7 linked regions of the Coturnix japonica genome follow. The protein of the gene in region 1 purifies or fractionates together with the protein of each later gene. This does not show direct contact. Links are inferred from orthologs where the notes say so. Each region holds a gene or a part of one and is shown in the gene's direction. Other genes may lie near its edges. The genes, in order: DDX5, SRPK1, EZH2, IGF2BP3, EED, HDAC1 and SNW1.

Region 1 (3,018 bases):
ACTAGAAATTGCATTTATGGAACTAAATCTGGGCATCTTACCTCTAGTGTCTTGTGCTGGCACCAACTCGGGAACTGGCTCAGCAAGTGCAGCAAGTAGCTGCTGAATATAGCAGAGCATGTCGCTTGAAGTCTACGTGTATTTATGGAGGTGCTCCAAAGGGACCACAAATTCGTGATCTAGAAAGAGGTAAGGATAAATCTGGATGCATCTGTGTGAGGTGATGCGAAAACTGCTTATCTGACTTACTGGTTGATTTTTTTTTTTTCTTGTAATTTTTTTAGGTGTGGAAATCTGCATTGCAACACCTGGAAGACTTATAGACTTCTTAGAAGCTGGGAAGACCAACCTCAGGAGGTGCACTTACCTAGTGCTTGATGAAGCTGATAGAATGCTTGACATGGGTTTCGAACCTCAAATCAGAAAAATTGTGGATCAGATAAGAGTGAGTATAGATGGTAGCTGCATTTAATTGTACTACAGAAACAGCAGTGTTTGTTAAAACAAGGATAAGGATAGCGCAGTTAGCTCAGACTTCTGGGTAGACTTCTGTGTTTATGTTTTACTTAATGATATGTTAATTTTGTACTGATAAAATCTTTCTCTCCAGCCTGACAGGCAGACTCTGATGTGGAGTGCCACGTGGCCAAAGGAAGTCAGGCAGCTGGCTGAAGACTTCTTAAAAGAATATGTCCACATCAACATCGGTGCATTGGAACTGAGTGCAAACCACAACATCCTGCAGATTGTTGATGTGTGTCATGACGTTGAGAAGGACGACAAGTGAGTAGTTACTGGGGGAGGTAAAACACTCAGTATGTTTCTGACGGTTGATTTAACTTCTGTATCAACCGAGATGAGTTTAGTGGGTATTAAATGCTAATCTAATACTGCTAGAAGCCCTCCATGTTAAAAGGGGAAAGAAATTGCACAGTGTGGGTAGTGAATGTTTCATTATCTCTTCATGACAGGCTTATTCGTTTGATGGAGGAAATAATGAGTGAGAAGGAAAATAAGACAATTGTTTTTGTGGAAACCAAAAGACGTTGTGATGATCTTACCAGGAAAATGAGGAGAGATGGGTAAGTTGAAGCACGAACTTAAATGATCCACCCCAAAAGAATCAAGAGCACGCTTGGTCTAATTAGTGACCACCTGTGATGGTGTCCAGCTGTCTGACCAGGTGTCAGCTGAAAGGCTAAATCCAGAAGCTGTTGAGAATGTCCCAGTAGCTGTCATAATAATGGAAGTACTCAATTATTTGAGGTTAATCAACTTCTGTATTTTCAGATGGCCAGCAATGGGTATTCATGGTGATAAAAGCCAGCAGGAGCGAGACTGGGTTCTAAATGGTGAGTATTTCAGCAGTTTGGTAAGCAGGCTGCTGTCTATCTGGTATTTGATGCAAAGAGACTGATGAAGAGTTGCTTGTGTTACAGAATTCAAACATGGAAAAGCACCAATCCTGATTGCTACAGATGTTGCATCCCGAGGTCTAGGTTAGTACAACTCGTAATGCCAGTTGCCCAAAGTTATTTAAAGAAAGTCTATTGCTTTCTTTAACCTCTGCATTTTTCTAAGTTTTCTTCACATAAAGGTGCAGTCTTTGTGGCAAGGCCTAGGCATGACAATCGGAGGACTCGAGGGGGATGGAGGACTAGTGGAAGTGATCGGCTGGCTGCTTCCAGTCAAATAGAGAGGTGAAAACTGAGAGCATTGTGTGCCAGTAATCTTCAAAAGGCAAAGTTCATCCTTTAAACTACTCCCCCATAAACTGTTCTCTCATGAAATAAGCAGCCTCATTCACAGTTCACTTTGCCCTGGTATTTCTCTTCTCTCCATGCTTTGCATGATTTGCCATGGTGCAGTACTGTTAGTTTTGTGCATACTGTCTGCTGTGATCTGTGGGTCTTTGAATTTCGGTGAGTTTGAAATGTTGAGGAAAAGAAAAATCTTGAATGTTCAGTGAAATTTTTTTTCTAACCATGAAATGGAGAGAGCAGCTTTAAAACGTACTAAGCCTTGTACAAATTGGTGAGTACTGGCACATGAAATCTGAGCAAAAGTCCACCTCTCACCTTAGCAAGTGGGGCAGGAAAGCATTGGCTTTTCTAAATGCCTTTGAAAGTCGAAGTTCCTCCACCTATATGTAGTCGTCATGTCGAGACCTGCCAGAGAGAGACACATTCTCAAGTGAACGCTGGCTTCTTGGAAGTGCTTGCCTAGACGAGACAGTGCATAAAAACAACTTGGTGACTTTTGGGGGACAGGTATGTTTTTCTTGCAGCTGCAGTTCAAAGGTCTTGGCAAGACGAGCAGTGTGGCCCATTTTTTTTGAGCTTCTAATGAGTGTGTATGTGAAGGACCTTGTATGTTTTTACTCTAAGGTCCTCAAATGAGCACATGAAGAGGCTGCTGTGAGCTTTAGTGGCCCTACTGCAAGAAGCATTCAGATGTCACTTGATGATTTGTAAAGGGGACTCTTGAGTTGGGAATGACAAGCAAATGCATACTCCTTTATGGTAAGGTTTTGGATCACAGGGTGGGTGATAAGACGGGAACAGACGGAGTGTGCATATCTTCCTCTTCCACAATATTCGTGCAGAAATGGATAATTCTAACACTGTTCTTTGCAGCCATTATTTCATTGAAAGTACTATTGTCTAACGTTTATCTTCGATTTGGCTGTTGTGGTGTGCAAAACTTTGTACCTCGCTTTTTGCCACACTGCAACACTTTACAGATGTGGAAGATGTGAAATTTGTCATCAATTATGACTACCCTAACTCCTCTGAGGACTATATCCACCGAATTGGACGAACTGCCCGCAGTACCAAAACAGGCACAGCATATACATTCTTTACTCCTAACAATATTAAGCAAGTAAATGACCTCATCTCTGTGCTTCGGGAGGCTAATCAAGCCATCAACCCTAAGTTGCTTCAGTTGATTGAAGACAGAGGTTCAGGTGAGTGCTATTGTTAACGATGCACAGCTTTTCTCTCAGAACAAACTGGC
Region 2 (4,790 bases), on another chromosome or scaffold:
GCATTTGTACCTGGACAGGTTCCACTACAAACCAAAGACTTGAATTTTTTGTTAGCTTGTTGAGCAGAGCTCAGTGTCTTTCCTTCCTACCACAAGACTGCAGAGTGGAACACTGGGGGACAGCTCGGACATCAGCGTGTTAGTTTTCAAATTATGAGTATTCTTGTTTCAAAACAAATACTTCACTGGGAGGAAGTTCAGACAAACCTGGTCGTTTTCCTCTAGAGCTGTACAGTGCCTCAGCTCCTGCATGCATACACAATGCTGCTGTGATTCACCAAGCACAAATCCCTGGACACAGGCTGTGCAGTGACAGAGCACGTACTTTATGGCCAAGGACTCCACCTGTACCTCTAAAGTCAGAGTTGAAAGGCCTGCCTGCAGTAGTGTGTTTGGAGGCAGTTTGATGTTTTCACCTGACCTAGTTGCAACAAATGCAGCTGTTTTGTGCAGACGGCAACTTTCTAATGTCCTTCTGAACTAGTATAAACCCATGACGTTTTCCTAGAAAGGCATGCTGCAGAATCCCAGGCAGCTTTCCCACTGTGCTGAATTACAGGCTGCAGATCCCAGAACATCACCATGCAAAGTGTGTGTAACATTGCCAGCCGTGTTGGCATTTTCTCAACATATTCCTTTTTTCACACATGGCTGCAGAAAACATAAAGCAGTAGAGAAACCTCAGGAGCTGCCCAGAGTGTGGCACAAACAGTTCTTAGGGCAACAGGATGCACTGTGTGACACTGTGTGGGAGCTATGAGGAAGGACCAGGTAAACTGGTTATGTATGGGCATAGTTTGTGGTGGCATTTGCTCTGCTTCAAAAATGAGTGCCAGGCTGGCTGTGGAAAGGTGGCTGTGTTTGGGCCACCAGCCCTCAAAGGGCCGTCTCAGCATCCCTCTGAGGGCCAAATTCACTGAAGTGTGATGCATAGTATTGGACAGGGGTGTGAACATGCGCTGTGAGGACCAACTGCAGAGTCCCAGTGCAAATATGGGACAACAGTTCCCACAGAAGGAACAGGCAGCCAATACACTGAGCTTGCAGCAGTGTTTGTGGTCTATTGCGACTCCTTCAAGGAAGGAACTTTCTTATGTGGCTGCTGTCAGATGTGAGCAGTGTACTCCATCGTGCTCAAGGTCTCAGTGTTACTTGTAGCACAGTCGTTGTGGAAGGCTGAAATTTGAGAGTGAGGGCATCCTTCTCCACGTCGCATCATTGAATTTAATTCTGCTCTGACACTAATGATTATTCCAACCCACATTTCTGATGCCAAGCCTACGAGGGCAGCTCCAAAAGTAATGCCTCCTATTTTGTTACATTGGGCCACGATGCCAAAGGCAGATAGTGGTGGTATGGCAATAGAGGTTCAACCTTCCCTGCAATGTTCTGTTACATTTGGTCAAGCACGACATAGCAGCAGGGGGGCAAAGTGATGTGTGTGACACGAGAGTGCAAATGAAGCCAAGGTGTGTCCCTGAATTCCTCCGGGTGGCAGACATGGCACTGCTTGGCACTCGTTAATGTTTATGGGCACTGAGCAGTGGCTGTGAGCACAGCGTGGGGTGCGTGTCAGTGGGTCACCTCTGCTGTTGCAGATTGTTGTGGACACGGCAGGACAGCTCTTGTTTATCACAGGCAAAAACGCTCAGCTAGTGGCATTAACTATACCGAAAAGCAGCATTTTGTAGGTGAGAATTTGCTCTATCAAACATTATTGTGCTCTTCGTACGTGTTGAAGCGGCCGTGGAAATAAATAGGATGCATTACTTTTGGAGCACGCGTCGGTTGCTGACGTCACAACTACGACGATGACGTCACGCGCGGTGTTCCCCTCCCTCCGCCGCGCGCGCCGCCGCGCGCCACGATGCTTTCGCGCCCGCAGCCGTCGGAGCTCCGCCCCGCGCCGGGCGGGAGGGGGCGGAGCCAGCAGCGCGGCGGGGCGGGCTCCCCGCACAGCTCCGCCTCCAGCGGGGACAGCGGGCACGTGGACGGGGCGGGCGGCGCTGCCGGGCGAAGCGCCAAGCCGCTCGCACCGCGCATGCTCCGCCCGGCGCGGCTCGGCGCGGCGCAGGGTCACGGCGCAGTGCGCAGGCGCGTGGGACTCCCTGGGCTCCCGGCGCTGGCGGCCATGGAGCGGAAAGGTGAGCGCCGCGCGGCCTGCGGGGGGGCCTCGGTCCGGCGGCTCCGCGCCGTCCTCACGTTCTTTCTGTCTCTTTCCTCTCAGTGCTGGCGCTGCAGGCCCGGAAGAAGCGGACCAAGGCCAAGAAGGACAAGGCCCAGAGAAAGTGAGTGCGGCCCCGCTGCCCCTCCTCACCCATCCCGGACGGGCTGCTCGGGGCGCTGGGCCGCTCGTGGGGCGGGAAACGGAGCCGCTTTGTCCCGGTACCGGAGCCCCGCGGCCCCTCCCGCCGCTCCCGGAGGTCTCGCCCTCCCCTCACGCCCCTTTCTTCCTCCTATTAAAATCCTCCTTGGCGCGGTTACGTCGCTCTTTGACGGTGCTGTTTTCCCGTGGCCGCCCTCTGGCCGCAGGGATGTTACGGGGCTTTTCGTGCGCTGAGCTTCACCGCGCGGATAGAGAAATGGAAGGATCTGAACAATGGCCGGCTGCGGGGCTCGTCGCACGCTGCATTCCGTGCTGCACGCGGACCCGGTTCGGGTGTAAAGCCCGGTCCGGTGCTGCGTGGTGCTGGGAGCGCTTTGCTGTCCGCTGGGTGAGAGCACAGAACTGCAGCGTGGTTGTGTTGGAAGGACCTTAAGGATCAGAGAACCACAGAGTAGGTAGTTGGCTTGGAAAGGCCCTTAAAGGTCACAGCCCCATAGAATGGTTGGGTTGGAAAGGACCTTACAGCCCCTTCCGTGCTGTGAGCCGAGTGTCCCCTGAGCTCAGGCTGCCCAGGGCCCATCCGTGGCCTTGAGCACCTGCAGGGATGGGGCACCCGCAGCTCTGAGCAGCAGCCAACACCTCACCTCTCTCTGGTGACGGATTTCTTCCTAACATCTCAACATAAACCTGCCCTTCTTTAGTGCAAAGCTATTCTTCCTTGTCCTGTCACTATCAGGCCATGTAATGGTTCCTACATAAAAGCTTTGGTGGTGCAGGGAGTTCTGTGTATCTTTCTTTACAGCGTGTTATTAGTCACTTCCTCTGACAAATCGTGCTGTTTTAGAGTTTTTCTGTTGCTTTCTGTCTCCAACAGACTTCCAGTTGTTCTGAGAGAGCTCTGGAGAGGTCAAGGGCTGAACCAAGCTCTTTGGGAGATGTGCATTGTATTTCTACGTATGTACTTTGGGCTTTACCTGGTGCAATAAAAGCTCAACCTCCAGCTTTGAGGCACAGCACCCCAACAGTTATGCTATTTAAATACAAAGCGGCTCTGATTAAATCTAAAATAAGCTTTACTGGGTTGTTGTAAGGCTCCCTCCATAACATCTGGGCTCGAAGCCACAAGGAATGTCTCTTTAACATCTTATGTTCAGTGATATTTGATTGCTTACAAGCTTTTCTGTATGAAGTTAGTAAGAAAGTGTAGCACACGTGAGTTTTGAAAGGGTGAAATTGGTGTTAGGAATTCTCTAGTTATGGTTAAACATAAAAATACAAAACTAAACAGTTTATGGATTGAACCATCAACCTTTCAAGCAGCTGGATCTTGAGGTGCGTTGAGGTCAATGGTTTTGCCTGACTGTCAGGAATGCAGGTTTTGGCATGGCTTCATTGTTTGAAGCAGTTTCTGACCCCTGCAGAACTCAGTGCTGGCAGGCAGGTGTGTTGGGCACAGCATTTGTCCCCTCACTGCAAGAAAGACATCAAGGCCCTGGAACATGTTCAAAAGAGGGCAACAAAGCTGGTGAGGGGTCTGGAGCACAGGCCTTATGAGGAGAGGCTGAGAGAGCTGGGATTGTTCAGCCTGGAGAAGAGGAGGCTCAGGGGAGACCTTATAGCTCTCTATAACTTCCTGAAGGGAGGTTGTAGTGAGCTGGGGGTCAGCCTTTTCCTCGTGTCGTTAGGGATAGGACCAGAGGGAATGGCTTCAAGCTGCGGCAGGGGAGATTTAAGCTGGACATTAGGAAGTATTACATCTCAGAAAGGGTGGTCAGGCACTGGAATGCACTGCCCAGGGAGGTGGTTGAGTCACTGACCCTGGGGGTATTCAAGGAACGACTGGATGTTGTGTTGAGGGACATGGTTTAGTGGTAATGGATGAATGGTTGGACTGGATGATCTTCTAGGTCTTTTCCAACCTTGGTGATTCTATAATTTGAACAAGGGTCTGGAGCTGTGCGTTGCTCCTTTGTGTTTGCATGTTGATTTTTCTCCTGTGAACTAATCCCCACATTTTCGTGCTCTGGTCTGCTGTGAGCAGTGGGGAGCCATGCAATGGCTGTTCCAGCAGCACAGGCTTCCATCAGCCACAAGGTGGCTGCTGTGTGTTCTATGGAGCTGGTGTGCTGGAAGCAGTGCAGGTGAGCAGCAGGTTTCTGTTTGGCTTCTGAGTCCTCGGTGGTGTTTGGAGGGGGAGCGTTGCTGGGAGTTAGCTCTGCAGACAGAGCAGCTGTTCCTGGCTGAAGCGAGGCTGGCACTCACCACTGTTCTGTTGGAGTGTCATTTCATGTACTGTAAGTCTTGCATCATGTGAACGAAAGCCCAGGAAGTGGGAAGATAGATACAGGTGGGAAGATTTGATACAAAACAGCTGCTGTTTGACCAAAAATACAAATGCAGGTGTATTTTACTCACATCTCTGGTAATTTGTAATGGAATTAAGCACAATGGTAGTATGTATTTT
Region 3 (4,766 bases), on another chromosome or scaffold:
AAAATCTCTTCAAGAAAGTTTTTTGTAAAAGAGAGGCAAAAGATTTCAACAATTCCAGAAGCATCCAAGCCAGATAAGATACTCTCTTCCAGAGTCTAGTTCTATTTTGATTGTTAAGCAAAATAAACATCTTCAACATTAGTTACTTTTTTTCAGAACTATTACATGTTGCCACCAGAACTGACTCTTTTCAGAATAACAACTCATCAGAATAACAGATTTCATAATTATTCCAGAAACCTTTGTAATATTTTTTGCTCACAGATCTGGTCCAAATGCCTCTTCATAATGCAGATTGGTGTTCAGGCATTCTTTAATCATGAAAATGCAGCAGAACAGAAAAATGTTTGGGTGGTTTACTCCATGAAAACAGAAAGTCTATAAGCAGCTCATTACAACATTAAGCATCCACGTGCAGAAAAAAAGAAACAAGCTGCCAGAATTCTCCAGGTTATTTTAAATAGCCCATATGATCAGAAAATTGACACTTCGTGGAGATCCTCACTGAGGATTCATCACTTCTAGAACTGAAATGCAGCATGGAAAGATTGTTTTCACAGAGTGCAAAACAGAAAGAGTAGTTCCATTCAAAATGTGTTTTATTTTCTAGTAAGCATTAGCTTCACGTACAGCAGGTGAATAACTTTCTGTGCAAGACAAAAACTGAAGCGTGTACTGCAATTGAGTTCAGTGTTGTCTCCACACATCTTTTTTTCACCTTGTGACTGACTATAGTGCTTGCTTAAAGTTACGCTATGCTTATTTAGCACAGGAGTTGTATATATATATATATATATATATATAGACTAAGATAAGATCTCATGAAGTGCAATTCTAACAATAAAAAAACTACAAGTTCCAAGCTGTGAAGAGACTGGGTAGCCATTTTGGTGGTGCCAGCCATCTTGGAGCAGAATAGATTTAAATAGCTGAATTTCAAGAAATGACTGACATTTTGCAAAGTTGATAGTTTTAACGTAATCTTGGAAAAGGTCATCTACTCTAGTAGAATCAAAGAAAGAGTATGACAATATATCGTTTCGTGACATGCAAACATAAGAGGAAATAATTTCTGTTCCACATTAAAAGAACTCTGATCCTTGTTTGGCCTATAATGCAGCTGAAAGATTTGGGCATGAAGCTGTGTCAATGATCTTCTCTCATAGGATTTTTATCATTCAGAACCTCATTATGGTGGACAGTGCTAATTTTTGGGCTTCACACAAAGATGAGACAAGGTAGTTGAATGTATCAGAAGTGATTTGCAAGGGAAGGTGAGAAACACTGGTAACAGACAGTAAGGGTACAAGGCTCACAATCCATTCTACCTCAGAAGTAGTGCTGAACACAGGAGGCTTAGGAAGGAGAGATGGTGACAAGCATACATGGAAGTTTCCCACCATGATCTTATCTTGGCAATTTTGTTTTTCCAGTCAACAAAGAAGGGCTGCAGTGGCCAAACAGTGAGACAAAAGAAGGCTAAGGGGGAATGAATCCTTGAGGTTTAAAGTACCTCCTTGTCAACGTGACTGAGTCGTAGAATAAAAACGAGGGAAAATGGTAGCAACCTTAGGCTAGAGACAGTGTATCACTAGCAACAGGATCCCAGCCTTATGCAGAATGGACACCTTGCTGTTGCTGTGATTTACCATCACTGCCAAGATGGGACACAATGGGATTTTGACAGTTAAGAATCCATGCTGGTTACAGAACAGCAAGGCACCAAAATTCGTGAGCAACAGCGTGAAACAAAAGGACAGATACGTGCTAGGTTTGGGTGCGCAAAGGTCAGATGACACGGCAGGAGGATGCATCACGTACTCTGGTTAGTGACTCAGCCAGCCAACGCTCGGCACGGCGCAATGCCGGGAAGGAGAGAGCCCGCCGCGGAAGCGACGGGCAGGGAGCGGGCCGTGCTGAGGTAAGCAGCTCCTGCCAACAACACCCCCAGTCCCCGCCTGGATCTTCCCGCCTGGTCGCAGACGCGCCTCTCCCAGTTCTCCGTCCTGTCCCGTCCCGTCCCGTCCCGTCCCCTCCCCTCTCTGCAGCGCGCGGAAGCAGCAGCACGACTGTTAAAACCGTTACAGCTCCCACTTTCGAACTGATTCAAACTCAGCAGCACTGAGACGCGAGGCCCCTCCCCGCTCCCGTCGGACCCCTCGCCTCCCTCCCCTCCCCAGTCCCCGTGAGGCGGCGGCCGGAGCACCTCAAACTCCAGACCCGCTGCCCGCTCAGCTACACGGACGGGCAAAGAGGGCACAAAACCGCCAGCCCGGGCGGCAGCGCGAGAACAAAGAGCTCCCCCACCCCTCCTTCCCGCCAGCACGTGGGGCACGGACCCCGCCCCTCTCCCCGCCCCTCTCCGCCCCTGATTGGCTCGGGGCGCTCCGTCCGCGTCCGTCCAATCGGGGCGGCGCTCGGCTCTCGCCAATGAACGTGTTACCGATTGGGCCACTGTATTTGGCGCTCGGTCCGGGAGGGTGAATCCGGCAGCCGGAGGCAGGAGGGAAGAAGAGTCGGGGAGCGAAGCGGCTGTGGTGGCGGTGGCACGAGATTGGAGCGAGGGGACGGGTGAGCTGGACGGCAGCGGCAGCAGCACCACAACCACCGTACGGGCTGCGGGCCGGGAGCAGTTATTTATAACCGACTCCCTTTGTTATGGGGGGTGGGGAGGCAGACAGGGAGGGCGCGACCGCCTCGGTCCCGAGCAGCGCGCCGCGTCGCGCTTGAAGGAACGGGATGGGGTGGGGGGCGGCAGCGAGATTCGCGCCCGCTCTGCAGCCGTTGACAGCGGAGGGAGCGGCGCGGAGCCGACGGTGCCTTTTGTCTGAGTTGGCTCTGTCCATCCTGGCCGCGCCGCGCTCGGCGGAGCGGAGCCTTGGGCGGGGGGGGCGACTGGCGCCGTGCGGGAGAAAGAGCGGGTAGGAGCCGGCTGTTTCCTCTCCTCCCCGTTCCTGCCGGCCTCCTGTGGTGGCGGCTGCCTCTGGCACGGTTTCGCTGAGGGGTCGGCGGGGGGATCCGTGTGTTAAACGTACGCAAGGTGAGGTCTCGGTGAGTCCGAAACGCGAAGACAAGTCCGTTCTGTCCGCCTCAGCCCCCTCCGAGAGAGAAGCACGGTGCAGAAGTTGTTACGCGGCGGTAGCCCCCGCCCTGGGGTGCGAGTAGGTCCGCGGCAGCCCCATGTGCCCGCGGTGTCCCGGAAGCGGAGCGTTCCCACTCTCGCCCTCGCACGTTGCCGTCCCGCCGGCCAGTCTGCGACGGGGCTCTCCAGCCCCCGGCGAGTTTCACGGGCACCGAGTGCGGGAGAGCGGGGACGGCGCGGGAGTCAATCTGTCCGGCCAACTTCCTCGTCGGGAAGGGCGCTGCTCGGCTAACCGGCCCTCCAGAGTTCGGAGGGAGCTGGAACTGCTGAGTTGGAGACCTAATGTCGCAAAGCGCGGGTGTGTGGGGCGATCTCTGAAATCGGCATGTTTGGGGAGGTGTGAAAGGGACGGAGTTGTGCTGGAGCAACAGGCGTGTGTGTGATCAGACAAAGGTGATGAAATCAATGTATTGTAGCGCAACGCATGTGTATCTGGTGTTAAGTACGAACATCCAAAAATTATTAGGAATGGGCAGAAAGAAAAGCAGTCTCAGCATAATGTAGCAAAAATGGTATAATGAACCTGTACCTGGCTCAAGATACTTTTTCAAAGTTATGAAACAGTATATTTCATTGGAACTAGGGCCTTGGTTTTTTTCTCTGTTTGGTTTTTTGGTTTTGTTTTTGTTTGGTCTGTTTATTTGTTGCAGGATAGGTTTGTCTTTGTGCAAGTCGAGCAATTGCAGATCCAACCGTTCAGTACTTCAGCGAGACTTTACTGGTATTTTTAGTACACGATAAACTTCTAAACGGAGATTTCCTCATATACAAGTCCTTTCTCTCTTTTTCTCTTTTTCCTCTTTCCCCCTACCCCACCCCCCTTTTTTTCCATTATTTTTTAATTTATTATTATTATTTTTAGGGCTTGGCACATTCCGGTTCTTTGTGACTTGTAAAAATTAAAAGGTCATTCTTTGTTTGTCCCCAGTGTCTGTATCAAATTGAGAGTTCAGGGAATGTTTAATTGTGATAACAATAACGCATCTTCAGAAGGGTGAGTATTACTTGTCCACAGTGTATGGTAGCTATCCTTGCTTTATATTAGATCATAATAATATAGATAAGGCTTACAGTGTCTTTCAGAAAACACGGTTCTAGTACTTTAGGAGGTATTATTCAAAAGTTTTATGCAATAAAATACTTTTTTAGACATTCTAAAATATTACTCTGAAAGTGACATACACTGAAAATACTTATTGGCAGAAGAACATTAAAAGTCTTTGCTCAGTTTAAAATCAGATAAAGCAATAGTCTATAAGCTTAGGCTGGAGACTAGAAATTCAAAATTTTTTGCTTTCCACATGGTATTTTCTTCTACCTAGAATTTTCAATGAGTTGAAATATCGTGGGTGACTTTGTTGGAAATATGCCTTCTAATGGGTTTATATTTGTTCTATGATATGGCATTTGTAGGTGAGATGTAAATGTACTTCAGCTTATCTACAAGGAAACTTTGGCTTAGCAAGTAGGGAATTCTTGTAGTACATTAGTGAGTGTACTAATTGTATATATGGAGAGTGCAAACTAACTGCTGCTTTCTGTGAATCAACATACGTCAGAATGAGCTGCATGTCACATACGCCAACAGTGTACACAGAAGCTGGTGCGTTTCAGAGATCCTCTG
Region 4 (4,004 bases), on another chromosome or scaffold:
GTAACAAAATGTTTATTTAGTGGCTTCATCCTCACAAAGCAATCCTCTTTTGAGTGGGTCTAGCCAGGCTCCAGTGTAGTCTAACAGAGCATAGGCTGTGGTTGTTGCAAAATTTAGTTTAATTAAAAAAAAATTAAAAAAAAAAAAAATATATATGTATCCTTAGCTCTGTTTGGGGAAGAAGAGGCCCTTGCTGAAAGGCAGAGGTGATGTTGCTGTAGTTTGAGGTTCTGAGGTGGTTGTTGTATGAGAGGATGTACTTGGCAGAAGGGAGTGGATTTAATGTGTCTTTTGGTGCAAAAATGGCAATGGGGTGGCACAGTGGGGCTCTTCTGTAGCCTTGACTAAAGTCATGCAGAATATCTCATAGAAATGCTTGCTTCTAAATTGCTTTTAAGCAGAAAAACTCATATTCTTTCCAGAGGAAGTGCGGTATATGTCAATTGTTACTGTATAATATCTGTTGTGACAACATGATATGTCTGTAGGTTGGCTGCAAACAAAAGCCTAGTCTTTTCCTCCCCTGTTACTTCTGAGTGGGATGCTGCTTGCACTGATTTCATGTAGGATTTTGTGAGTGCTGGGGTTCTGGTCTAGGATCTTTTAAAGCCAGAGGAGCTGGAAGCGTTTTAGGAAAGAAGCAGTGTCTGAACTTGTCAAATGAATGCATGGAAGGGAACGAGCTGGTATGAATGTCAATCTGCTGCCTACCAGCATGTTGGCAAAATGGTTGGTGCTCATCTCTTCAACACCTTGAGGTTTGATTCCAAAAGAAACAAGGCCTGGGCAACTGCACTGGCTGATGGTGCCATTCCCCTTCCCCACAGCTCTTCTCTTTCTTGGCTGATTTCAGAAGAACTCAAACCATAAATAGAGGTTGCAGATATTTGCAGTCAGTGAGAGCTGTCTTTCAGCTTACATAAGACTTCATACCCCTTCCCCAAATAATATCTCCACCAAGAGAGCCTTTGGTGAAATACCTTTTCAGTGTTGCTACTCCGTGCTGAAGCTCAGACTTGAAACTTGCTGTCCTGTGTGTTTGTCTCTCATTAGTTGTACTGCTTAGTCTTTTCTGTTCTTGTAAACACAGCATTTTGTGTAATAAAATGCTCTCTGAAGTCTGTGGAATAGAAGATCAGAAATGTCAGTTTTGTAATGGCCTCGGCAAATTTTAATCGAGCTCTCTTCTGCCATATGCTGTAGGAGATTCTCTCATTATGGGAGCAATTACACTTCCATTCCATTCCCAGAGGACCTCTGTCTCATTTGGTGAACAGAAGTATTTAATGAGCAGTGATCAGTTATTCAATATTTTGCTTTCCTTGTTGTTCAGTGGGGTTGCCTTAGGCCTTATTTATTATCAACCCTTATTAAATGCTGCTCCAAAGACAAGAATTAATTTTGTCAGCTCTTTACTGTCCTACTGGAGAGTTTCACAGACACTGGTTTACTCCCTGAGATGTGACGGTGTGTGTTATCCTCCTTATTCAATCTGAGGGTCATTGTCCCAGTACAACTTATGGATGTGGCTGCTGCTCTCTTCCAGCAGTGGTTTGAGGCCAGGGGCCTGATGGTCGAGTGGGACACCTTGGTGGTGAGCAGTGCTTCTCTAGCTGCCCTTGGAAATGGTTGGCCTTGTATCTCTGTGGCAGACTAAGGGGTAAAGCTGTCATGGGGGGCAAACGAGATTCAGTTTCTGTGTCTCCAAGACCTTGCTACAAAGTGCATGGTTACTATGAGCTTTTTAAAAGAAAATGTTGGTGGATTCCTTAATATGCTATACAAAGCTCCCTCCCTCTCACTAGTGTTTTTAATTTAACCTTTAAACAAAATCTCTACAATTTTTTTGTCCTAGATTGTGCCCAGCATTCATAAACTACCCCCAAATCAATGTGTGTTCCAGTGATATCAGTATATCACATTGCCGATAATGTCAGTAACATGCCTTCTGTGGTGAAACTAAAACTTTTTCAAATAGCTGCATGAAGCTCATACTAACATGTTACCAGTGTGCTGTGGGTAGCTTAGTTACTCGTCCTGCTTCCTGCATCTTCTATTTTATTGACATTTCCTCTTCTGCTTGCAAATGCGAAGTCTTCTACCTTCCAAAATCTGTTGCTTTTGGCCCAGGAGTTGTAGAGAAGTGGCTCGGTCAGGTTGATCTGTGCATGTGGAGCCTCCTTGCTCAGTTGAAATGCCTGTGTTCAGATGCTTCTCCCTCCTGTCAGTAATATCATAATGTCCTCCGCATTACAAAGGGGCATAGAAGCTACCTTATTTGTGGGTGCTGCTTAGAACGTATGTGACCAGGGTATTTTTGTGTTAGGTAAAATCACCTGCTGCAGTGTGCCTGACCTTTGGTATTCCTTCTAGTGGAAACTAGCAATGATTTGCCAACTGATCCATAAAGAAATTCAGATTTAGAGCTTCCTGTAGCTGGAGGCCTCTTTTAGATGTAACCATTGTCCGAGTGGCCTTCAAGTGTTTAGTGCTATATTGAAGACCTGCTTTACTCAGTGTAGTGGGATGGTACGGTCCTAAGGGCAGAATAGAGCTTGAAACACCATATAAATGCCTTCAAAACACCTTTGCATTGATCCAGAGCATCAATGATGTTTTAGTTTTAATTTGCTGGTTAACTTTTAATCCATAACATGTTGGTAAGCTGATGTTTCAAGTGCCGTTGACTGGCTTTGAGTACTTTTTCTCCTGCCGAGAACGAAGCACAAGCTGTTTTTCCTATCTATTTCTGTCGTAGCCATGTCAGTTAGTGCAAAAAACCTCCAGCCAAATAGCTGTGCTGGCAGAAACTCTAATGAAGGTGCTGTGATATCAGCTAAAGTTTTCCCTCTGGTGCAGCTTTAATTCTATTTGGGAAACTGATTTAAATTACAGCAGGCAAAAGAATGCTTTTGAGTATATAAGCCCTGTCTCCTGTGAGGTTTTGCTGATAGGGTTGTACCAGCAAAACCTTTAAAGTGCGTGGAAGCCCAGAGCAAGCAAGAGCTAACTTGTTCTTAATACGGTAACTTTTACTTTATTCAGTCAAGATTTAGATTTAAAATATATATATAAATATTTGAAAATAAGCTTTTACCCAGGAACCAGACTTTTGGCTTTTATTATTTGATTTGGGACGTGCAGAAGGCTGCACTTGAATGAATTCTCATTCTTAAAAGGTCTCACCGTGACTTCTATTTTTTTCTTTTCCCCAACACCCTCCTCTTCTCCCCTTTGCAAACAAACAGAGCAATAGAAAAACTGAACGGGTTTCAGCTTGAAAACTATTCCTTGAAAGTCGCTTATATCCCCGATGAAATGGCAGCACAGCAACCTCCACAGCAACATCCCCAGGGACGACGTGGATTTGGACAGAGGGGCCCTCCAAGGCAGGGTTCACCCAGCGCAGCCACGCGGCAGAAACCACAGTCGGACGTTCCTCTACGGATGTTGGTTCCCACACAGTTTGTTGGAGCCATTATTGGGAAAGAAGGAGCAACCATCAGAAATATTACAAAGCAGACTCAGTCCAAGTAGGTTATAAATGTGTCATCTTCTGTGCTCTGTGTGTGCTGTGCCTCAGTTTGTGTTTCTGAAGGAAGCTCAACCTTACGGATAGAAGAAGGGATTCTTTTCCTTTTTTTCTTCTTCTTTAAATCTGGAATATTTGTGTTACTGAAATGTTCTTGGTTACAGGAAGGGATTGTCTCCCACTTCCCCCATAATGCTGTTATATCCTTTGGAAGGCTGCTGTTTCCTCAGCAGTATCGTCTTTGGAGACCAAACATTTTCGTTCCAGGTTGTGTAATCAGTGTTGCTTTCTGTTCTGGGATGGCAAGTAGTCACTTTAGGAACATGTAAAGCATGTACAATTTCACAACAAATGAAAATAAGTGCAAATAGGAAATTTTTGGCAAGATTGAAGAACTTGATTCTGCCCTTGATGCGTGTTCAAATACTTGCTTCTTTTGTTTCCAGTTCACTTTGAATGAAATTAGGCAGTG
Region 5 (4,584 bases), on another chromosome or scaffold:
TCTGTCATGTTGAGAAAGAAGTCCTCCAGAAAATCAAACAAGGGAAGGCAAAGACCAGTTTGGCCCAGCAAGTTGATGATGGAGACTGAAGGGTTTTGCTGACTGATTCTGGTGTGGGTGGGAAATCTTCCTGTGTGCAGGCCAAGAAGCACAGCCTGACTGGGGCCCTCACTTTCCTTGTGTTTGGGATGAGCTAGTGAAACGTGGAGGAGCTGAATGTGTAGCTGGCCATCTGGAGGATGTCAGGTGACAGCTGCAAAATGAAGGGGAGCTGTCTTCTCTCCATTAGCTCAAGGTCATCCGTGATGAGAAGTTAAGAACACTCACTGCTGAAAACTCCGTGCCCGCCCTTCATTTCTAAATCACAGTCGTGATTTAGTCTTAATTAAGATGCCAATCTAAAAATATCCCGTCATATTTTAAGAACAAGTCAGTTCATTCTCCGTGTATGTCCTCACAAAGGTGTAAAACGCTTTTATCACAGCCTTGATCTTAGTGCATGAATTTGGGCAGCTGCAAGTTCCCAGAGCTTTTATTAATTGTGATCTACAGCCTTTTGGTCTGTATTATACACTGCACCAGTGGAGCCTACAGGAGGGACTATTGCTAAAAACACTACAGTACACACACCAGCTTAAGCACCTCTCCTCCCCCTTATCTCTGAAGTTCATGCCAGATTAAATTGTAGATACAAAGGCAAGGTTCACTTCTGTCACTGCCCTCCAAGAAATCACTTTGCAAGGCTGGAATGCCTCCTCCAGGGAGGAAAGCTTTGGTTTTTCTTCTCTGAGAGAAGCAGATAAGGCACTGTGCCTGCGGGCAGATTACTTCCCCTATTTATCAGATATATATATATACATACATACATATATATATATATATGTTTATATATAGGTTTTGTTTTTGTTTTTATTTTTTTGTTTATTTTTTGGTTTATTTTTGTTTGTTTTTTGTTTGTTTTTCCACTGTTCGTTATTATTATGACTCTGGGACATGTGATTTTAGGAAAATAAATAAAGAAATAAATCATCATCTGGCAACTGCAGTATTTAATTTACAATCTGCAAGTGGTAGGAACTTGCCATGGGGCATTGAAACAGGCCATTTTTTCTTCTCTCCCAACAGCATTTTTTAGATGAAAGTACTTTTTTTTCCCCCTCATTCCAGCCCTGCCTGGGTGACAGGGCAGGGAACAGACACCTCATTTCTCTATAGAGCATTTTGGAGAGCAAAAGAACCAAAAACGACTTTGTGGATGAGGAACTTTGTGCTCCTCACAGGACACAGGAGCTGTGGTAACCAGAACCTCGGGCTACTTTATATGCCACGAACGTGCTCGAAAGTGCTGGTCCAGGCCACAGATAACGGTATAAAGTGTCATTATGCTTTATTATGTTCATACATTCGATTATAAATAATAATAATAATAAGAGTAATTAATAGTTGAGTTAATAGATGGGCGACACCGCCCGCGCGACGCGGGAAGGCGGATTTTTCAGCAGTGTGGCAGCTGAGGGGCAGCCAAGCGCGGTGCTGCTTTACGGCAAAGCATTGCGACGCCCCCCCTGCCGCGCTTTACGGCTGCGTGGCGGTGGGCGGTGGGCGGTGGGCGGGGAAGATGTCTGAGCGGGGAGAAACCCCGGCGGCGGCGGCTGCATCGACGGGAGAGATGCCGGCTAAGAAGCAAAAGCTGAGCAGCGATGAGAACAGCAACCCCGGGGATCTGTCTGGAGATGAGAACGTGAGGCTGAGTTGGGGTGTAAGCGGGAAGGTGGCGGTGGCGAGGCGGGAGCATGAGGCAGAGGGGCCGCGCTTTACCCCGCGTGCGTGAGGGAGAATTGGAGGCCCTGAGGTGTGAGCGGTTTTCAATGTCACTTTTTAAGTGGTTTTTATTGCGATGTAGCGAGCAAAAATCTGTATTTTAGGTATATCTGTCGTTTTTCATCGCTGCCTCGGTGTGGGGTGTTCATTAACACGTTGCTCGGTGTTAATTTGTGCACACAGAGTTTTGGGGAAATGAAGGAATAGGGGGGAATCACAACGTTGTAGGGGTTGGAAGGATCCTTTGGAAACCATCCAGTCCGACCCCTCTGCTAAAGCAGGTTCCATGCACTTGTGTGCTCATAAGTTGCTGTCAGCAGGAATTGGCTGTAAGGGATGAAGGCTGTTACCTCTCAACTGCACTAAATCAGAGTATTTAAACCAAAGGTCGTGAGATTGATTCCAAGTAACTTAACAGCTGAAAAGATCAACTGATTTGGGTCTGTACTGAGTCTGGTCTTGTTCAACATCTTCATCAGCGACCTTGATGAGGGGATAGTGACCACCCTCAGCAAGTTTGCTGATGACACGAAGTTGGGAGGATTGGCTGACACGCCTGAAGGCTGTGCTGCCATTCAGCGAGACCTGGACAGGCTGGAGAGCTGGGCAGTAAGAAACCGGATGAGGTTTAACAAAAGTAAGTGTAGAGTCTAGCACTTGGGTAGAAATAATTGCATGCACCAGTACAGGCTGGGGGAAGACCTGCTGGAGAGGAGCTCTGCTGAGAGGGACCTGGGCGTCCTGGTGGACGACAGATTGAGCATGAGCCAACAGTGTGCCCTTGTAGCCAAAAAAGCCAATGGCATACTGGGGTGTATTAAAAAGAGCGTGTCCAGCAGGTCGAAGGAGGTGATCCTCTCCCTCTACTCTGCCCTGGTGAGGCCTCATCTGGAATATTATGTCCAGTTCTGGGCTCCCCAGTACAAAAAAGACAGGGAACTCTTGGAAAGAGTCCAGCGGAGGGCCACTAAGATGGTGAAGGGCCTGGAGCATCTCCCCTATGAGGAGAGACATAGGGAACTGGGTCTGTTTAGCCTTGAGAAACAAAGGCTGAGAGGGGATTTGATCCAGGTTTATAAATACCTGAGGTGTGGGAGCCATAGTGGTGAGTCTGGTCTCTTTTCAGCAGTGCGTGGGGATAGGACTAGGGGTAATGGTATGAAAGTACAGCATAGGAAGTTCCGCATGAATGTGCGCAAGAACTTCTTTACAGTGAGGGTGACGGAGCACTGGAACAGGCTGCCCAGGGAGGTGGTGGAGTCTCCTTCTCTGGAGATATTTAAGACGCGCCTGGATGCCTACCTGTGTGACATGGTGTAGGGAGCCTGCTTTGGCAGAGGGGTTGGACTCGATGATCTCTAGAGTTTCCTTCCAACCCCTACAATTCTGTGATTCTGTGTGATCGTCTGAGCAATCTGGTAGTCGGTTTATGCAGTTGGTGAACTGGGGGAGTTAATGACATAGGAGTTCTGCATGGTGTCTTTCTTGGTTAGAGCACTCAGTATGGGCGTTGGAGCACATTGCCCATAACCTGTGCAAGAGCAGCTGCTGTTGAGGTGCTGCGTGCCACTGCTGCTGGGCCTTATTCACTGAACATCACTGGACATGCAGGCCACACGTTTGTCATTCAGCTTCTGCAGAACATTAAGGTCATCGGAAGGGATAGAGAAGGAAGGAGGGGCTGTGTGGTAACTGTGTGTTAGGGATTGTTTCGGTGTTTGGCACAGGCTGCCCAAGGAGGTCATGGAGTCACTGTCCCTCAAGGTTTTCAAAAAGAGTAGATGCGGCACCGAAGGATGTGGTTAGTGGGCATGGTGGTGGTGGGTTGATAGTTGAACTAGATGATCTTAAATGATTTTTCTAACAGAATCACAGAATTATCAAGGTTGGAAAAGACCTAGAAGATCATCTAGTCCAACCATTACCAATACTTCCAGGCTAAATCATATTCCTCAGCACCACATCCAAGCGTTTCTTGAACACTCCCATGGTCGGTGACTCCACCACCTCCCTGGGCAGTGCATTCCAATGCCTGACTACTCTTTCTGAAAAGTAATACTTCCTAATGTCCAGCCTGATTCTCCCCTGACGCAGCTTAAAACCATTCCCTCTAGTTCTATCACCGATTACATGAGAGAAGAGGCCAACCCCCAGCTCACTGCAGCCTCCCTTCAGGAAGTTACAGAGAGCTATAAGGTCTCCCTTGAGCCTCCTCTTCTCCAGGCTGAACAATCCTTAATGATTTGTGAATCTGGGTGTGATGTGGTGACAGAGGCTCTCAGGTTTGCTTTGGTGTCTGTTATAGGCTGTCTCAAAGGTGGAAAGTCTCCTTCTAAAACTTTGTTATGAGCTTTGTTGCTCCTGAAAGGCCTGGATTCTCCTTAAAAGTGGACGTAACAGTGTTGATTTGCAAGAAGTCTCTTTTTTCATGGAATCATAGAGTAGTTAGGTAGGAAGGGCCCTCAAAATCATCTTGTTCCAACCCTTCTGCCATGGTCAGGGTTGCCAACCACTAAATCATGCTCTAGATCAGGCTGCCCAGAGCCCCATCCAGCCTCGCCTTGATCACCTCCAAGGATGGGGCATCCACAGCTTCTCTGGGCAGCAGTGCCAGCACCTCCCCAGGTACTCCACAGGTATCCTGAAGGCATGTTTGTTGGTCATGTTTTAGTTGTAGTTACGTGGTTGTATTTTGTTATACCAATATAATGTGTTCTTGTATTGACTGCATCTGATTAGTCCAGAGGAAGCTTCAGTTCTGTG
Region 6 (3,161 bases), on another chromosome or scaffold:
CAGCTGTGCTCTTACTTCGCACTGAAATCTGCTGTATATGAGGGATCTCATTACTGGTCCAGAGGTGATTTGATTTTTGTTCTATTTTAACTCTTATGCAGAACTCCCATATAATGACTATTTTGAGTACTTTGGACCAGACTTTAAGCTGCACATCAGTCCCTCAAACATGACTAACCAAAATACCAACGAGTACCTTGAGAAGATCAAGTAAGTGTTTGCCCTTCTTCACATGGCTGACACCTTTTGCTGGGTAAATACAAACATGTTCCTTTCCTGGCTGGCTCTAGGCAGCGTCTCTTTGAGAATCTGCGCATGCTGCCTCATGCCCCTGGTGTCCAGATGCAGCCAATTCCTGAGGATGCTGTTCAGGAAGACAGTGGAGATGAAGAGGAAGAAGATCCTGAGAAGCGCATTTCAAGTAGGTGCTTGCCTCTGGCATGGCTGCATTGCTCTGCTGGGAAGTGCACTGCACAGAGCCTGTACATCTCCAAGCATTAGTGCGCAGTATCTTCTGACCTCTTCTCCCCTTCACTCTCAGTCCGCAATTCTGATAAGAGAATATCCTGTGATGAAGAATTCTCTGACTCCGAAGATGAAGGGGAAGGAGGGCGCAAAAACGTTGCCAACTTTAAGAAGGCCAAACGTGTGAAAACAGAAGAGGAAAAGGAGGAGGAGGAGAAGAAGGGTAAGCACGAGGGCTATGGCTGGAAGCCCTCCCAGCTGTGTAGAGCACTGCCTGATGTGTGCTTTCCTACTGCCCTCCCATGCCTTTATTTTTTTCTCCTAGATGAGAAAGAAGAGGAAAAAGCAAAAGAGGAGAAAGCTGAACCCAAGGGGTGAGCACGGTGTCTCTTGACTTGGCACTTCACTGTCTGAGTTTGTATTTGTTTAAACCAGATTCTCCACTGCTTCCTTCCACAGGGTGAAGGAAGAGGCAAAATCCACCTAAGATGGCTGCGGCTGGACGGCGCCTGTCAGTGCGTGGTTGTCGTAGGTTAGCTTCTCCGGTTGCCTCCCATTCCACAGGATTTATATTTTATATATGTTTCTGTATATATTTCTATATAAATATATAAATGACTTGAGAACTGTAAATTATTCCTCGCTGCACTCCGCTGGGAGCAGGCAGGGAGGACTGCAGAGTAGAGAGACCCACATTGCCCAGCATTGGAACTGGGAAGTTTTGCTCTTTGCCTCCCACCAGCTCCTCAGTGTGTCTTTAAGAAAGAATCACTTCCTTTCTTTGCTCTCCTCTGAAGTAACCGCCCTTAAGAATGAATAATTTAAGTAGAAGTAGCATCTGCATTTCAGGTTAGGTGGGAAGATGGCCATGAAGCTTTTGCTTTTTTTCTGCTTCTTTTCCTTTTTCTCTCTCTTTTGTTTTGTTTTGTTTTTGTGGGAGATGTGAATTCCCAAATGAAGCCTGTGAGAGACGGAGCGTCCTTTGGTCTTCAGTCTGATTCCACCACGGCAATAACTACAAGCCGGTGCCGCTTCTCAGGGTCAAATAGTGCAGTTCTTGGACAGAGTTGGCTACTTTCCTGCAGCAGACTTGTGGAGAGAGGTGAAACAGCTGACAGGCAGATCAGGAGGTGGATGGAGTGAATCTGCCCAGAGCCCTGCAGGTAGAGAGCTGTGGGGATGGACCCTTCCCGGGATGTGGCGGATCCCATTGGCAGCGCTGTGTGTCTTTGTACACTCGTTTCCTAGAGCTGTGCCCCTCTTTGCAGGGGGGAGGTGAGTTACTGCCCACCTGGCTGCCTGCTTCACTCTGCTGCTGCCCTCAGCTACACGTGCTGTAATTGCTTCAGTGCTGATCCGTGTCCTTGCTGAAAGCACAGCAGAGCAGGACAGACGGGCAGGGCCCAGCTGGTGCCTCTGCTCCACGTGCCACTTACTAAGAATCTCCTCCTGGAGCAGGCACGTTTTCGAGCGGATCCTTCCCTCTCTTTGCTCTCAAGGCCAGTAAATGCTGAGAGCCTTTTATCAGCAGGCAGCGCTGTTATCTGTACGAGGGAACAGCAGATGGGGCTCTGTACGTTTCTAGAACTACTCCTCTTCCTACTCCCACACGTTATCTCACACCCAAAGGTCTTTTGTGCTCAGAGCCGGCCTTTCTCACACCTTGCTTTGTACAGCTGAGCGTGAGATGAGCGTTCCACCAAGAGCTCCAGCTTTGCACAAGTTTTGCAGGCAGTTGTGACTCGCTGCTCTCCTTTCTCAGGGCGATTCCTCTGTCCATAAGAGGGTCTGTACCTCCCACGGGGCTGCTGCTGCTGGTTTCAACTCTAATAATGCTGCTAACTTAACACAGGTTATTTTTGAAATGTTTTATTTTTTTACGTGCTTTTCCTCCCTTTTTCCACCATCAGTTTTTTGTAGCCTCTTGGAACCCGAGTGACGTCTCACTCCCGCTCTTCAGTGTTTGTATGTGAAGCGAGAGGGATGGGTGCATCTTTGTGTCCTGGGGAGGGGAGGGGGGGAAATATATTGTGGTTTTTTAAAGATGCTTTTATTTTAAATTTGGAGAACCTTTGTAATAAAACGTCCATTTCTATGGTTGGTCTGAGCTGGAGCTGCTTTGTGCGCGGGGTGGAGTCACAGTGTGCTGCAAGAGGAGCCTCCCCTGCTATAGGGTGATGGACGTGGATGTGTTGGTTGAGTGCTGAGGGCCAAAGCAGTGTGTAGGAACATGCAGCGTGCAGCAGATCCTGCTGCAGGTGTTGAAATTCCCTTTATTTCCCTCAATTTTATAGCGCAGCCTTCAGCCCCCAACACACACACACACACTGCAATCCCACACGGGGCCGTTCCCATCGCAGCCCTTTGTGTGCTGTTAATGCTGCACTGCCTGCTGCTGAAGGCAACCATGATCATCCATAGAGACGATGGGTTACATGGCGCTTTAAAGCACTTGGGTGCTTATTTCTTGCATGAGTGCCTGGGTTGTGGTTTTTATTTGCAATCTGCTGTTCAATTAATTAGAAAAATAACGATTAAATGAGCCGGGTGGTTTTGCCTCATAAGGAGAGGAGGAAAAGCTTCGAGTGCCACAGCCCTTCATTGCTGCAGTGATGCCCCAGGAGCTGCAGCTCACACTTAAAGCCGTCCTGCTCTATGAGCAGCCATGTGTCCCATTGCACTCAGTCCCATTGCAC
Region 7 (3,646 bases), on another chromosome or scaffold:
AGCTGCATGCACTGATGTTATTTTTCCTACCCCAACACAGCTGCATCACTGGGACTGACACTAATTAGTAGATCAAATTTTAGGTTACAGATGCTAAAACCAAAGCAAAAATGTTGTAGAGTTATCTAAGGGATCTTAAAATATCTATAGATATTTGCAGATTTCAGCAGGCAGCATCTAGAGTCTCTTGCTTTTGCTTACAGCCTTGGCCCTTAATTTCTCATTTTTGAGTCAGCCAGTCTCTTAATAGGTTTAAAAACAGTTCAGGGGAGTCGAGTTTTAAATACAAATGGTAAAACTACTTAGAGAGTAGGAGAGCTGTCATCTGGAATTCTTAAAGCAAAAGGTGGAGCTTATTAATCACAAATTCATTCTCATTCATACTTGAACAAAAAATGTGATCTAGATTTGAGGTGGGGGTGGAATTGCTTATTATTGCCTGGTATGAATTTGGAGTACGTCTAAAGAAGGCCCCTGGAGGGGGGCCTGATGATACAATGAATGATTGGCTGACTTCTGTGATAGTGTATTTTTTTTGTTGTTGTTTTCTTACCCAATAAATGCAATACAAGTTTGCTATTAAAAGCCTTACTAATTTCTGTAACTGCTCATCTCCTCTTTAGGGTTACACCATCCCATTAGACAAGCGTCTGGCTGCAGATGGAAGAGGACTGCAGACTGTTCACATCAATGAAAACTTTGCCAAGCTTGCTGAGGCTCTCTATATAGCAGACAGAAAGGTCAGGTGGTTGTTTAAGCTGTTCTGTTTCATGTGGTTGTACCTTTATTATGTGCTTGATTCCTTGGGAAAATCAGCTGGGAGAGTGCTATAGCTTTTTGGTCTGTCCTGCTTCTAGGCTACTGTAACGTTTTTATCCCCAGTGTGTTTGAATCAGCGGCTCAGTGTGGATTAAATTATCGCAGGTCATGTCTGTTGTTCCTCAGCTTGAATTTTGGTATTTTTCTGGTTTTGAACTTTAACTATAGGACTCAATTCTTCCCATTTACCGTGTAACTCCGGGACAGAAGATCTGCATCCCAGGTGCTAACTAGGGGTCTTATGTGTGCAGGCTCGTGAGGCTGTGGAGATGCGTGCCCAGGTGGAGAGGAAAATGGCTCAGAAAGAAAAAGAGAAACATGAGGAAAAGCTCCGAGAAATGGCCCAGAAAGCAAGAGAAAGGAGAGCAGGGATTAAAACCCACGTTGAAAAAGGTACATTTTGTTGCTGAGGTTCTGTGGAGTCGTTTGGTTTTTTGCACTCTCTGAAGTGTAGGTTTGCAGAAATAACCTGAGAAATTAAAATATCCAAATTCGTTTGCTTAATTCATGGGGATCTGAATTTCAACGTCAGGTTGAAGGAGGTTGTTGAGAAATTGATCACTGTATCAGTACAGTGGATGGATCATTACAACATAAGGGCTTTCATGGACTGTTGTAATTTGATTTCTTTTTCAGAAAAGGCTTGTTTTGACTTCATCTGTGAGCACTAAATGATCTTTAAGTTTTCAAAGATGGTAAACGCAGTATTCTGTCTCTGATGTTGTTATAATTGGTCTTAAGGAGAAGTAGCTTTGGCTACCAGGCTCAGAATCTAATAACCTAACTAAATCATAGCCATTGTGGTGTGTTATGTCTTGATTGAAATGACATTTCAGAGATCAGGGTGCTGAACTTACAAAGCAGTTCTCTTAATGTCACTTAAAGGTGGAGAATGTGGTCATATACTGCAGCTGGGATGGACTAATCTGTTTCCAGCAGTACAGGCTGAGAACTAGCAGGCTGCAGAGCAGTTGTGTTCAGAAGCACCTCTGGGAGTCCTAGCGGACGATGTGCTGAAGAAAAGCTATAGCAGCACGCCCTGGCAGCAGTATTCCTAGGGGTATGCTAAGCTGCATCAGCAGGAGTGCAGCCAGAAGGACAAGGGAAATAGTTGTTTTTCCTTTACTGGTCATCTGCTAGACTGCATCTGGAATAGTGCCCACTTAAGGGACTCTCAGTTCAAGACAGACATTGATGAACAGGAATGAGTTCAGTGGAGGGTCACCAAAATGGCCAGGTGGCCAGAGCATCTGTGTGGTGAGATGCTGAGAGAATGAAGCATGCTCTGCCTGCAGTAGAGAGAGCTTGATGGTAACCTAATGTCAGCCTTCCTATGGAGAGATCAACAGCTACACTGTGGAAGAATGAGATAGTGGTTAAAAGCTGAAGTGTGTGCTTCCACCAGTGTACGCAGAGAAACAGATTTCATCATGAGGACAAAAAACAGTGGAACAGGTTGTCCAGGTGCTTGGAAGATGCCTTGTATTAGAATGACATTTTTATACTAACATGTAACAGAGAAGAGGGTATGACACAATCATCTGCAGCTGTTGGGGATGTTAATTTGTAGGTGGACAAGAATTCTGAGCTCTTTAAAGTTCAGAAAACATAGTTGTTGTGTATGTGTGCTGTAACTCTCTTGTCAAGGACGTTTAATTGCTTGTGGCGTGAGAAAGTTACTGTTCTCCTTTCTAATTTGTTTAAAAAGTAACATATGGTGCTAAGGATCCCTTCTCTTTTGGAAATGAATATTGAATCACTGTGCCAATGTCTGTGCTGTAGTTTAATTCAGACTTGAGTAGCTGTCTGTAATAAGCAATCTTGCATGTGTTCAGAGGATGGAGAAGCTCGAGAAAGAGATGAAATAAGACATGACCGACGCAAAGAGAGACAGCACGACAGAAATCTCTCCAGAGCAGCTCCTGATAAAAGGTGAGTCACAAGCAAAGAAGCTGCTTCATTACTGTACTAGTACAGGATTCCCCACTACAGAAGCTATTACATACAGCTTTCTCCATTTCCTTGACATCAGTGCCTGAATTTTACCTTGTGGAGATGCTCACTGGTGTGAAATGGTTTTATTGTGTTAGAATATGGTGGTGTTCCTGTGATTAGGGTTTATGCAGGAAATAGATTGCAATCATAATATTGAATTAATGTATAGTATTTTAAGTTGAAAGGAAGTGTGGGGCTACCCTGCGGTAAGTGTTAGGCATTGATATAGCACTTGTTTGTAGAATCCATGTCTTTGGAAACTTAAACTTAAGACTATATGCAGTCAGATGTGTCTGACTCAAATGTTGTGAATTTTCCAGATAAGAGAAAAGGTTTTAGTTATTTATTGTCATTTTTGTTGTTTTGGGTGGGGTTTTTTGTGTTCTTTTAGAGGGAGGAAAGGGTTGCTTGGTTTGCACATCTGCAGCGTATTTGGGCTTGATGACTGTGTTCACAGCACAGAGGTTGGTACCTGCACCTTTAGTGAGACCAAAATACAATCAGTGGATTTTCTTGAAACTGTTCATCTAAAGTGACTTTAAATTTATGAACGTGAGCTGAAGCAACTTGTTTGCCCAAGCTGGTGAGATTTCTTGAGGACAAATGGTTTCTGGAAGCTTAAAATCTCTAATATCTTAAAATGAGATTGCCCAGCCTTTCAAGAATGTAATTACACTGGTTTGTGCAAAAAAATAAGTATGACATTTTAGACCGAATCAGCTTGATATAAATTGCAGATAGTGGAAAGTGAATTTAAAATGTCACGCTTAGCCTGAATGTAAGTTTCCCAGATGTTGCCTTTGCCAGGAAAATGTTACCTAGTGAGAAACAG

What was found.
Region 2: the proteins of DDX5 (region 1) and SRPK1 purify together in Homo sapiens (affinity purification with mass spectrometry; 3 studies listed by BioGRID and IntAct, with this or other methods). This does not show direct contact. The link is inferred for Coturnix japonica from reciprocal best matches to the Homo sapiens genes DDX5 and SRPK1.
Region 3: the proteins of DDX5 (region 1) and EZH2 purify together in Homo sapiens (affinity purification with mass spectrometry; 4 studies listed by BioGRID, with this or other methods). This does not show direct contact. The link is inferred for Coturnix japonica from reciprocal best matches to the Homo sapiens genes DDX5 and EZH2.
Region 4: the proteins of DDX5 (region 1) and IGF2BP3 fractionate together in Homo sapiens (co-fractionation; 3 studies listed by BioGRID, with this or other methods). This does not show direct contact. The link is inferred for Coturnix japonica from reciprocal best matches to the Homo sapiens genes DDX5 and IGF2BP3.
Region 5: the proteins of DDX5 (region 1) and EED purify together in Homo sapiens (affinity purification with western blotting; 3 studies listed by BioGRID, with this or other methods). This does not show direct contact. The link is inferred for Coturnix japonica from reciprocal best matches to the Homo sapiens genes DDX5 and EED.
Region 6: the proteins of DDX5 (region 1) and HDAC1 purify together in Homo sapiens (affinity purification with western blotting; 5 studies listed by BioGRID and IntAct, with this or other methods). This does not show direct contact. The link is inferred for Coturnix japonica from reciprocal best matches to the Homo sapiens genes DDX5 and HDAC1.
Region 7: the proteins of DDX5 (region 1) and SNW1 fractionate together in Homo sapiens (co-fractionation; 3 studies listed by BioGRID and IntAct, with this or other methods). This does not show direct contact. The link is inferred for Coturnix japonica from reciprocal best matches to the Homo sapiens genes DDX5 and SNW1.

What each region holds. Positions count from the first base shown.
Region 1 is NC_029533.1:7,253,914-7,256,931, forward strand, and holds part of DDX5 (probable ATP-dependent RNA helicase DDX5), read left to right. Parts: intron 1-47; coding exon 48-189; intron 190-284; coding exon 285-445; intron 446-610; coding exon 611-783; intron 784-971; coding exon 972-1,082; intron 1,083-1,290; coding exon 1,291-1,352; intron 1,353-1,439; coding exon 1,440-1,499; intron 1,500-2,743; coding exon 2,744-2,968; intron 2,969-3,018. UniProt on the Homo sapiens protein: Involved in the alternative regulation of pre-mRNA splicing; its RNA helicase activity is necessary for increasing tau exon 10 inclusion and occurs in a RBM4-dependent manner. Binds to the tau pre-mRNA in the stem-loop region downstream of exon 10.
Region 2 is NC_029541.1:496,563-501,352, reverse strand, and holds the start of SRPK1 (SRSF protein kinase 1), read left to right. Parts: upstream 1-1,852; 5' UTR 1,853-1,867; coding exon 1,868-2,144; intron 2,145-2,227; coding exon 2,228-2,288; intron 2,289-4,790. UniProt on the Homo sapiens protein: Serine/arginine-rich protein-specific kinase which specifically phosphorylates its substrates at serine residues located in regions rich in arginine/serine dipeptides, known as RS domains and is involved in the phosphorylation of SR splicing factors and the regulation of splicing.
Region 3 is NC_029517.1:75,450,672-75,455,437, reverse strand, and holds the start of EZH2 (histone-lysine N-methyltransferase EZH2), read left to right. Parts: upstream 1-1,812; 5' UTR 1,813-1,862; coding exon 1,863-1,921; intron 1,922-2,397; exon of another isoform or gene 2,398-2,609; intron 2,610-4,766. UniProt on the Homo sapiens protein: Polycomb group (PcG) protein. Catalytic subunit of the PRC2/EED-EZH2 complex, which methylates 'Lys-9' (H3K9me) and 'Lys-27' (H3K27me) of histone H3, leading to transcriptional repression of the affected target gene.
Region 4 is NC_029517.1:28,565,246-28,569,249, reverse strand, and holds part of IGF2BP3 (insulin-like growth factor 2 mRNA-binding protein 3), read left to right. Parts: intron 1-3,248; coding exon 3,249-3,533; intron 3,534-4,004. UniProt on the Homo sapiens protein: RNA-binding factor that may recruit target transcripts to cytoplasmic protein-RNA complexes (mRNPs). This transcript 'caging' into mRNPs allows mRNA transport and transient storage.
Region 5 is NC_029516.1:170,394,351-170,398,934, forward strand, and holds the start of EED (polycomb protein EED), read left to right. Parts: upstream 1-1,594; 5' UTR 1,595-1,618; coding exon 1,619-1,741; intron 1,742-4,584. UniProt on the Homo sapiens protein: Polycomb group (PcG) protein. Component of the PRC2/EED-EZH2 complex, which methylates 'Lys-9' and 'Lys-27' of histone H3, leading to transcriptional repression of the affected target gene.
Region 6 is NC_029538.1:4,502,499-4,505,659, reverse strand, and holds the end of HDAC1 (histone deacetylase 1), read left to right. Parts: intron 1-101; coding exon 102-210; intron 211-290; coding exon 291-421; intron 422-541; coding exon 542-688; intron 689-790; coding exon 791-839; intron 840-924; coding exon 925-952; 3' UTR 953-2,560; downstream 2,561-3,161. UniProt on the Homo sapiens protein: Histone deacetylase that catalyzes the deacetylation of lysine residues on the N-terminal part of the core histones (H2A, H2B, H3 and H4).
Region 7 is NC_029520.1:35,692,308-35,695,953, reverse strand, and holds part of SNW1 (SNW domain-containing protein 1), read left to right. Parts: intron 1-623; coding exon 624-740; intron 741-1,070; coding exon 1,071-1,212; intron 1,213-2,654; coding exon 2,655-2,751; intron 2,752-3,646. UniProt on the Homo sapiens protein: Involved in pre-mRNA splicing as component of the spliceosome. As a component of the minor spliceosome, involved in the splicing of U12-type introns in pre-mRNAs.